Linked DNA regions of Mus musculus. The protein of the gene in region 1 interacts with the protein of each later gene in a pairwise test. Links are inferred from orthologs where the notes say so. Each region holds a gene or a part of one and is shown in the gene's direction. Other genes may lie near its edges. The genes, in order: Klc3, Tsnax and Cep57l1.

Evidence for each region.
Region 2: the proteins of Klc3 (region 1) and Tsnax interact in binary tests that used the Homo sapiens proteins (3 or more experiments, as listed by UniProt). The two-hybrid records come from large-scale screens. The link is inferred for Mus musculus from reciprocal best matches to the Homo sapiens genes KLC3 and TSNAX.
Region 3: the proteins of Klc3 (region 1) and Cep57l1 interact in binary tests that used the Homo sapiens proteins (3 or more experiments, as listed by UniProt). The two-hybrid records come from large-scale screens. The link is inferred for Mus musculus from reciprocal best matches to the Homo sapiens genes KLC3 and CEP57L1.

What each region holds. Positions count from the first base shown.
Region 1 is NC_000073.6:19,397,494-19,401,147, reverse strand, and holds part of Klc3 (kinesin light chain 3), read left to right. Parts: intron 1-1,226; exon of another isoform or gene 1,227-1,434; intron 1,435-1,598; coding exon of another isoform or gene 1,599-1,606; coding exon 1,607-1,864; intron 1,865-2,955; coding exon 2,956-3,186; intron 3,187-3,654. UniProt on the Homo sapiens protein: Kinesin is a microtubule-associated force-producing protein that may play a role in organelle transport. Plays a role during spermiogenesis in the development of the sperm tail midpiece and in the normal function of spermatozoa.
Region 2 is NC_000074.6:125,011,773-125,015,526, forward strand, and holds the start of Tsnax (translin-associated protein X), read left to right. Parts: upstream 1-1,268; 5' UTR 1,269-1,424; coding exon 1,425-1,440; intron 1,441-1,737; coding exon 1,738-1,842; intron 1,843-3,754.
Region 3 is NC_000076.6:41,720,472-41,722,889, reverse strand, and holds part of Cep57l1 (centrosomal protein CEP57L1), read left to right. Parts: coding exon 1-6; intron 7-1,188; coding exon 1,189-1,333; intron 1,334-2,418. UniProt on the Homo sapiens protein: Centrosomal protein which may be required for microtubule attachment to centrosomes.

The sequences.
Region 1 (3,654 bases):
GTCAGATCCCCCGGACCTTGAATTGGTTGAAAGCCAGCATGTGGGTGCTGGGTCCTCTGCAAGGGCAGCTAGGGCTCTTCACCTCTGAGTCATCTCTCCAGACCCCAGGATTTCTTTTTAAAAGCAGAGATTATAGCTCCTGGCCCCATGATCCTCCTGCCTCAGCCTCCAGTGCCAGAATTATGGGTGTATGCTACCACACCTGTGTTCTGAAAAGGAGAGAGTGTGGTGTGGTTTGTCTTTCTAAGATGAGAGTGTACATTTGTGCCGTGCTTCTTTGTTTCCTTTCTTGTGTTGTATTTCTAATAAGGCAATACATATGCGTGTGCTTGGAGAGGGTGCGGGTGTGTGGAAGGAGAGAATGTGTGTGCTGAGCTGTGTCTAAGATGGGAATCTGCCTGCCGCTGGGTCTTTAAGAAGGACCTGAACTGGGGCTCAGTTGATAAGGCTGCTTGCTTAGAATGCCCATCCTACGTGTGCATAGCATGTCCAGGACCCGGGTTCATTCCTAGCACCCCATAAGTGGAGCGCGGCGGTGCATGTTGCTTAAGGCCCTCCTCAACTGTACAGCAAGGTCAAGGCCAGTCTGGGCACACAAGACCCGATCTCAAAAAATTAATTGAAAATATTAATTTTTTAAAAGGCTAGGAGGTGCACCTACCTCTAGTCCCAGCACGCAAAAGGCAGAGACAGGTGGATTTCAGTGAATTCCAAGCCAGCTGGAACTACACAGTGAGACTCTGTCTAAAAAAATAATGAAGGAAGGAAGGAAGAAGGAAGGATGGGAGAGTTTTGTCTGTTTGCTGAGGAGAGTAGTATCAGTGAGGTTACCCCTCTAAGCCTCTACTTAGTTACCCACATAAAAACACACAGAAACCCATTTGGCAGACCCCAGCAGTGCTCAGGTGTCACATGGACACTGCCATCCGTGAACCACGGCCATCACACAAGGCCTCATCAAGCCTGGCTGCGGTGGTCGGGACCCCGAGTCCTGTCCGTCAGGATCCCGCCAAGATCAAGAGCCCCCTAGACAAGCTGTCGGCCCCTCTAGACACCTCCAGCGATCCTTTCTCCAGCCCTTTGGTCTGCTTCTCTGCTCTCAGGGTTTCATCCCTCATCCCTCCCGTCTGCACCCCCCCCCCCCTCAGTGGCCTGACTGGTTCCTGACAAAACACCCTAAGAATGAGCTCACTGGGAGCCTGCCGCCCCCACACGCTCCGCCCCACACACGCTCCGCCCCTCAGCCCGCAGAGGTGGCACCTCCGGTCCCAGGGCGCTTAGCAGGCTGGGAAGCTCTGTGCTGGGGTGTCTGGGGACCTGGGTGGGGGGGCTGGACCAGGTGAGCAGAGTGCAGCGGGGTGGAGGGGGCTCTGGAACCGGCTGTTGGTTCTCTTGGCTAATCACAGTTAAGAGCTGTCCCCAGGGTTTACAAAGGTAGAATGTTTCCCGATGACGGCTGCCTGTTTGTGATGGAAAGGGATCGGGCAGAGAGCTTAGCCAAGACGGGCGGACAAGGGGGATGGCTGGAATGAGGAGAGGCTGAGTCTGCGTGGCCCAGATGGTGACTCCCTCGACCTCACTGCCCCCCACCCCCCCAGGAGCAGCCATGTCTGTGCAGGTGGCAGCCCCTGGAAGCACAGGGCTGGGCCCAGAACGCCTGAACCCCGAGGAGCTGGTGCGGCAGACACGACAGGTTGTACAGGGACTGGAGGCCCTGCGGGCCGAGCACCATAGTCTGGCTGGGCACCTGGCGGAGGCCCTGGCTGGACCAGGCCCTGTGGCTGGTGTGGAGCTGCTGGAAGAGAAGCAACAGGTGGTGAACCACTCGCTGGAGGCCATCGAGCTGGGGCTGGGTGAGGCCCAGGTATGTGGGGCTGCGGGAGCGCTTAAGCCTGGGAGGGAAGAGGACCAGAGATGATGGTGTGTGTGTGTGTCTGTGTGTGTCTGTGTGTGTCTGTGTGTGTCGGGGGTGGGGGGGAGGGCCCAGGTAGGATGTCTGAAGGAGCCAAGCCCAGGAAGAGGGACTGCAGGCCAGAGACAGCATCCCTGAGAAGCATTAGGGATGAGAGATTTTGTGTGTACCAATGGGATTCTCCTGTAGAACCTGGGCCTGGAGTGAGTTTGGGGTTTTCATTATGAATGGAATGTCAGTGAGGGGCTGGGGCATGGCTCAGAAGTGGAGCCCCTGCCTAACCCCAGCCCCTCTCTGGGGGGTTCTAGGCAGGAGTTCTACCACTGAGCCTCACCCCCAGCCCCTCACTGGAGGATTCTAGGCAGGGCTCTACCACTGAGCCTCACCCCCAGCCCCTCACTGGGGGATTCTAGGCAGGGGCTCTACCACTGAGCCACGCCCCCAGCCCCTCACTGGGGGATTCTAGGCAGGGCTCTACCACTGAGCCTCACCCCCAGCCCCTCACTGGGGGATTCTAGGCAGGGGCTCTACCACTGAGCCTCACCCCCAGCCCCTCACTGGGGGATTCTAGGCAGGGGCTCTACCCCTGAGCCACGCCCCCAGCCCCTCACTGGGGGATTCTAGGCAGTGGCTCTACCACTGAGCCACGCCCCCAGCCCCTCACTGGGGGATTCTAGGCAGGGGCTCAACACTGAGCCACGCCCCCAGCCCCTCACTGGGGGATTCTAGGCAGGGGCTCTACCACTGAGCCACACCCCAGCCCCTCACTGGGGGATTCTAGGCAGGGGCTCTCCCACTGAGCCACGCCCCTGTTCTTCACAGATGGATTTTAGGCAGCTGCTGACCTACATAGTTGGGATAGGAATTAACCCTATGCATAATTTAGGTGAAGTTAGGGATTTCTGGGAAACTCTTAATTATCAGAGCCACATAGTAGGGTGTGTTGAGGATTTGGGGGAACCTGTGTAGAATGTGGCTTGATGTAAAACCTGGACTGGGACTGGGATGAATCCACTCCTACTCAGGGTCCCAATGCTTCGCAGGTGCTGCTGGCCCTGTCCGCACACGTGAGTGTGTTGGAGGCTGAGAAGCAGAGGCTACGGGCACAGGCACGGAGGCTAGCCCAAGAGAACACATGGCTTCGAGAGGAGCTGGAGGAGACACAGAGGCGACTGCGGGCCAGCGAGGAGGCTGTGGCCCAGCTGGAAGAGGAGAAGAGCCACCTCCAGTTCCTGGGGCAGCTGAGGCAGTATGACCCGCCCGAGGAGAGCCAGGTAGCAGGGGCAGGGTTAGAAGGGAATGCACAGTCCTCTACAGAGCTCCTGGGTGCCTGCAGGAGCTCTTAGTACAGCCCTTCAAGTACAAATGGAGTCCCTCAATCCCCACACCTAATTGAGCCCCCAAAGTACCTTGAATGCTCCTTAGAGCATTCTTCCCCCAGCCCACTGAAACCTCTAAGGCTCTCACCCCACACCTCTGTCAAACTCAGAGCTACTGTGGCTGAGGATGAAGGATGCTGTGAGTTCTAGGCCAGCCTGGGCCACGTAGTGAGACTCTTACCTCAGAAATATACCAGTCCCTGAAGCCAGGCATGGTGGCGTGCCTTTAAGCCCAGCACCGTGAAGGCAGAGGCATGCTAGCCTAGTCTACATGGTGAGCCAGCCCCTGCCCTGAACAACAGAGAGCTACACAGGCAGGCCCGATGTAGCTCCAGGGCCTCGGCCTGACACTTGACTTTCTCA
Region 2 (3,754 bases), on another chromosome or scaffold:
ACTGGTTTTGTGTGTCAACTTGACACAAGCTGGAGTTATCACAGAGAAAGGAGCCTCCCTTGAGGAAATGCCTCCATGAGATCCAGCTGTAAGACATTTTCTCAACTAGTGATCAAGGGGGGAGGGCCCAGCCCATTGTGGGTGGTGCCATCCCTGGGCTAGTGGTCCTGGGTTCTATAAGAAAGCAGGCTTAGCAAGTCAGAGGAAGCAAGCCAGTAAGAAACACCCCTCCATGGCCTCTACATCAGCTCCTGCCTCCAAGTTCCTTCCTGTGTGAGTCCCTGTCCTGATTTCCTTTGGCATGAATAACGATGTGGAAGTATAAGCTGAATAAACCCTTTCCTCCCCAACTTATTGGTCATGTTTTGTGCAGGAATACAAACGCTAAGACAACTGGTGAATGTGGGCTCAGAAGTCACAGAAATTCAAGATGGTTATGTGTCCAACATTCATCCATTGTTGTTCCCCCACAGCCTTTTCATGCAGGACTCTGCCCAAACCATCTAGCTTTTTGCTGATTCAATGGTGACAGCTTATGGCCTGATTTTTGAGCTGGGAGACCCTCCTGTGATGCTGTTGTGGCCTTGACTTCACTGGCTAATTCTACGTATATCATTTCCATAAGTGTGTCTGTTCCTAAGTTAACAAGAACAGACTGTGTGACTAAAATGTCTGTAACATGCACATGGCTGAACTTGACTCAAGATGTTGGGCTTTGTTCAATAAGTAATCTTAATTGAGCATGGTCTCTAATGGGCTGCTGGAAGCCTCAAAGGAATGGTACTAGCTAGGTGAGGTAGCATGTGCTCAAACAACAGCCTTAGGGCTTGACAATGTGACCAAACTTTCCATCTATTCCAAAGCTGCTTCTCTTCGAAGACCTTGCGACACTTCCAGGTGCCACGCACCCAGCACATGCCAAGGGCATGCATGGACGCAGGAGGCTGCTCAGAGAGGCGAGGGGACAGGAGGCCGCTGCCCGCGACAGGACTACACAGCTCAGGTAGGCACTCAACGGCTTGCACCACAACCTGGCACACCGGAAGCATGCGCGACTGAGAGAGAGCGCCGGGTAGGCACTTGGACGTGGGAGAAGCCGGGACACAGACCGGAAGTATGTGCAGCACAGGGAGCGCGCCGGGAGCCCGGCCGGAAACGTGCGCTGCTGCAGGAGCGCGCCCGCCCGCATGCCCGCCCAGGCGGTGTGGGACACGGGCCGGAAGTGTGTGCGGCCGAGGGGACTCCGCGGCGGACGCAGCTCCCGGCTGAGGCTGCGTGAAGGATCCGCTTCCGGCGGCCGCCTACTGCGACCAGGGTGGTGTGCGCTGTCACCCACGGGCTCAGCGCGGCGTCCCGCGACGGCCTTTCGCTGAGCTGGCCCGGCGGCTGCGATCCCTGCGCGTGCAAGCCGAGGCCCCGCGGCCATGAACGGCAAAGAAGGTGCGGGGCCGGCGCGTGGAGGGGAGGGGCTGGCAGGGCCTGGCCCCTGTGCTCGGCTGTCACCGTGCCATCCATCGCACGCCCCCAGGGGACCCTGCGGACCGACCCAGAGCGCAGCCGGGTGCCTGGGGTCTCAAGCCGCGTTTTGTGCGACCCCTGCACCAGTGCACGAGTTTGGGGACCTGTGTGTGGCTGGAGAGGTCGAGCCCTGTGGGTACCGGGGGACGAAGGGGATAGCCTGGGCTGTGCTAGCGCGGCATCGCAAGGGCTCCATCCATCTCTTCTTTTCTGCCTAAGGACCAGGAGGGTTCAGGAAGAGGAAGCATGACACCTTCCCACATAACCAAAGGAGAGAGGGGAAGGATGCCAGTTTGTCTTCGCCGGTGATGCTGGCCTTCAAATGTAAGTTTCCATTAGGAGAATTAGAACCATAACCGTAACAATCGTGTCGCCGTAGTGTTCGGGTGTGGGGTCGGTTAGGGAGCCTTTAGTCCATGCCGATGTAAGGCTTAGTTTTCCTGAATGTTTCGTGTTGGTGCTAGGTCTGCCCAGAAAAAAAAAAAATCTGTATTCTAAACATTCCGATATCAGGATAACTTGACCAAGTTAATAGAACAAGAATACCAGTGTACATGTATGTACGAGATTCACTAATAGTTCCTGTTCTATGCAGAGTGCTACCTCAAAATAAGTCTTGCCAGTCTAGTAACCAATCTAACACACTCTAAATATAAATATATGTGCTAGTAAATGGTAAGTGTGAAGATGATGTTACATACAGAACAGTTGGTAAGAATGTGGCAGATATTTCCATATTATTTAACATTTAATGCTTTTTATGTGGGACTTTTTACTGTTTACTAATGTTAATATAGGCCACCATAGTCAAGGGCTTTGGGATATAGATGTTTGCCACTTTGCATTTGCTAAAAGTAACGCAAAGTAAAAACTGCTTCATATTTAGGAAGAAAGAATTAGGTTGCACCTTGTAAAGAGAAGGGTCCCAGCTAATGTGTGGACAGTTTTGTTTTTGTTTTTGTGTTTTTTTCTTTTTTGTTTTTGTTTTTTTTTTCGAGACAAGGTTTCTCTGTGTAGCCCTGGCTGTCCTAGAACTCACTCTGTAGACCAGGCTGACCTCGAACTCAGAAATCCACCTGCCTCTGCCTCCCAAGTGTTGGGATTAAAGACGTGCGCCACTCCCCCCCCTCCCTCTTCCCGGCTAATGTGGACAGTTTTAAAAGAACATAGCACCTACAGTGGTCTTCATGAGTGTGAGGAAACCAGGTAAAATTGACATGGCTGAATACTGAATGAAGCAAGCTGGTCGTTTCCCACATATTTGCTGTTTTCCTGTTTCTTTCTCTCATAGGTGGATAGTTCTTTGAGCTTGGATTTGTTTCTGACTTAGTGCTTTCATTACCAGCCCAGTGGACCATGTTCTCTTTGATACCCAGCTCAAGTGACTCCTTGGACACGATGGTTACTTTCATTCACTTCCCATCTGTATTGTCTGGTTTTGTGTCAACTTGACACAAGCTGGAGTTATCACAGAGAAAGGAGCTTCAGTTGAGGAAATGCCTTCATGAGATCCAGCTATAAGGCATTTTCTCAATTAGTGATCAAGAGGGGAGGGCCCTTGTGGGTGGGACCATCTCTGGGCTGGTAATCTTGGTTCTATAAGAAAGCAGGCTGAGCAAGCCAGGGGAAGCAAGCCAGTTAGTAACATCCCTTCATGGCCTCTGCATCAGCTCCTGCTTCCTGACCTGCTTGAGTTCCAGTTCTGACTTCCTTTGGTGATGAATAGCAGTGTGGAAGTGTAAGCTGAATAAACCCTTTCCTCCCCAACTTGCTTCTTGGTCATGATGTTTGTGCAGGAATAGAAACGCTGACTAAGACACCATCCATTCACTCATGGGATGTTACCTTTCCCTTAGCCCTTTCCTATGTATTTATATCATTGTTATATTTTATTTAATTACTCATTATTTATACCTGTGTCTCTTTGAGGCTAGGAACTCTGTTTCATCCAACTTTGAATTTATTATGTCAGACAAAATCCAGAGGCCATCATCACTATCATCAATGTTATTCCTGAGATAGGGTTGTATTAGCCTATCTGATAGTGTTACTGTGAAGATGATAGTGAGGTAGCTTGTTGTATTTATTTACAAACCAGTGCCACTTTAAAACACTTTACAGATGTTTCTGAAAACTCCCAGGGATTCCAAAGTTCTGTGGTTTTGTGTATCCTGGATAGGATAGTGTGCAGTTACTCTGTTTTGAGAATTAGTGTCCTGACCACTGCGTTCTGCTT
Region 3 (2,418 bases), on another chromosome or scaffold:
GAATATGTGAGTGTTCATTCTTTATTAAAATAAAACTGTGTGTGCACGTGGGTATGTGCTCATGGTGCCGGTGCTCCCAGCGCAGCAGAGCGGCTGGGCTCCCTGAGGCTGGGGTCACAGAGGTTTGTAGGTGACTCTGGTCCTCTGCAAGAGCAGGGCACCTTCTCAACTCTTCAGCAGTCTTTGTGGCTCCCACCTATAAATCTGATTGGCTATTTAGACTTACTTTGTATCTATCCATAAACTTATTATTACTATTTCTCATTGTATTTACTATAGTATTTAACTGTTTAACTGTGTCTAAGAACTAATTTTTGATAGTCCAGAGATCTAGACTGATAGGCAAATATTATGAATCAAGTGGATATATCGAGTCTGAAGACTTTAGATTAGAACGGAGATGAGCTTTGAGAAGGAAAATACAGTTTTTATTTAAAATCTTTTAGTTACATGGGTGGTTTCATTAGGCAGGTTAGAATATCATTCCTTATTTTAGGTTTGTCCTGATGTGTATGACAAGTCCCTCAGTAAGGACTATCTGCATAGGAGTCATTGTATTGAGCCTGATGCCTAACCACATTTCAACAAACGTAGCAGAGCTTCGTGCTTTAAGTGGCAGGCTCACTGAACTCATAAAGAGTTGCTGCACACGTAAGGGTTCTCGCAACAGTATTTCCAATCGCAGACTTGGAGCTGAAGAGCCATGTGTTGCCCTAGCTAAGCACTGTAGAAGTGTTCGCTCTGCTTTGCTGAGAGAGAGCACCAAGAATTTACATTGTTTTTAGGTTATTGAGCAGCTAGACACTATGATAGTTCTAAATGTATCAAATCTCAAAGGATAAAAGCTTGGCTACGTTTACCATATCATGATTGACTTATATATCCTAATGTTAGACAACTATTTTTGAAGATTAATATTTTGCTCCTAACTAACACTCATAATCAAACAAGACAGTTAGTTGTGACAAAGAGAGAACAGTATTTCTACAACAGTGCTTGCTGTTTGCTCTGTTTTTAATCATGCAAGTATAATCTATGTGTCCTGCCAGACACTACTGCTTCTGTGGTTTTTATTTATGATGTTATTATTTATTTCTATTACTAAGTATTGCGCTGAGAACCTGCCAGGCACAGATGTCCTCTCTGAGTGAGTTACACCCCGGCCTTGTTGCTTGCTCTTCTCTGTAGGGAGCACAGAGAGCTCCTGAGACAGATGATGCAGCCTGGGAACCACTCGGTCTCTGAGGACATAGAGCAGGAGCTGGAGCAGTTAGCCAAGAAGATGGAAAGCAAAGGTGACCAGATCTCCAAGCTCAAGAAGCATCAAGACAGTGTAAGAAGGACACTCCCCGTTACCAAACAAACCAACAAATAATCACCAGACACATCCAGTGTCACATATCTGTATGGCCTTCCAACTGGAAGTATGGAGACATGGTGTACTAAAAGATACACAGCAATCACTTGAGTGTCTTACAGAGAGCCACCACTGTGTGTAATGACAGCCCTTCTACAGAGGTTCTCAAGAGATGAGAGAGAACAAAAGAGTTCCTGTGGAATCAGGCCGTGGGGAAACTGTAGCGTAGGCTATTGCTTCAGCACCCTTCCAGTTACCTTTCCAGCATTCTCTGCTCTGGTCCCCCACCCCAGCCCTCCTCACTCTACCCCACCCCACCCCTCCCCACCCCACCCCTACGGTTCTAATGATGTCCTTTGTGCCACACGGAAACCTGGTACATAATCCTGAAACCATTCCCTCCTGCCTCCTGAAACAAGCTGGGCTGTGTTGTTTTCCCTGGGATCCTGTACCTAGCCACCTATACTCAGTAGAACTCAGGTTGGAGGAGGATGCCATACTTGTCTTTTAGTAACTAAGAACAGCATGACCTTAATATGCTGACAGAAGAATCCTGAGCATAATCGTTCTCTCTGAGACAACTCCATCCATAGTTGCTGAAGCAGAATGGGGTCTTTCTAGGAAACCTCACATCACATCACATACTTCTTACAGCTCTCTGCCTAGGGAGTTCAGCATTCCAATAAGCTGCAGGAATATCAACCTGCCATGTGCAGACTTCTATAAGACAGTGATTTGTAAAAACCAGTAATATCCAAAGGATATTACTGTATTTATCATGCTATGGTCAGAATAGAAAAATATTTTCATTTTACTGGCTTTTAAAACTATAGCAAGTAAAAAAAAAATATGATTGTGTTTTGGTAAAGATTGAACAAGTTTTGCTTTTGGAACCACATAGAAGAAACTTAAACACATACATTTTATAATTTGAAAGTTATGAATTTGTTACTTAATAACTGCTGCAGAAGCTGGGTGATGGTGGTGCATACCTTTAATCTGAGCACTCAGGAGATAGGTGGGCAGATTATCTGTGAGTTCAAGGCCAGCCAAGTCTACAG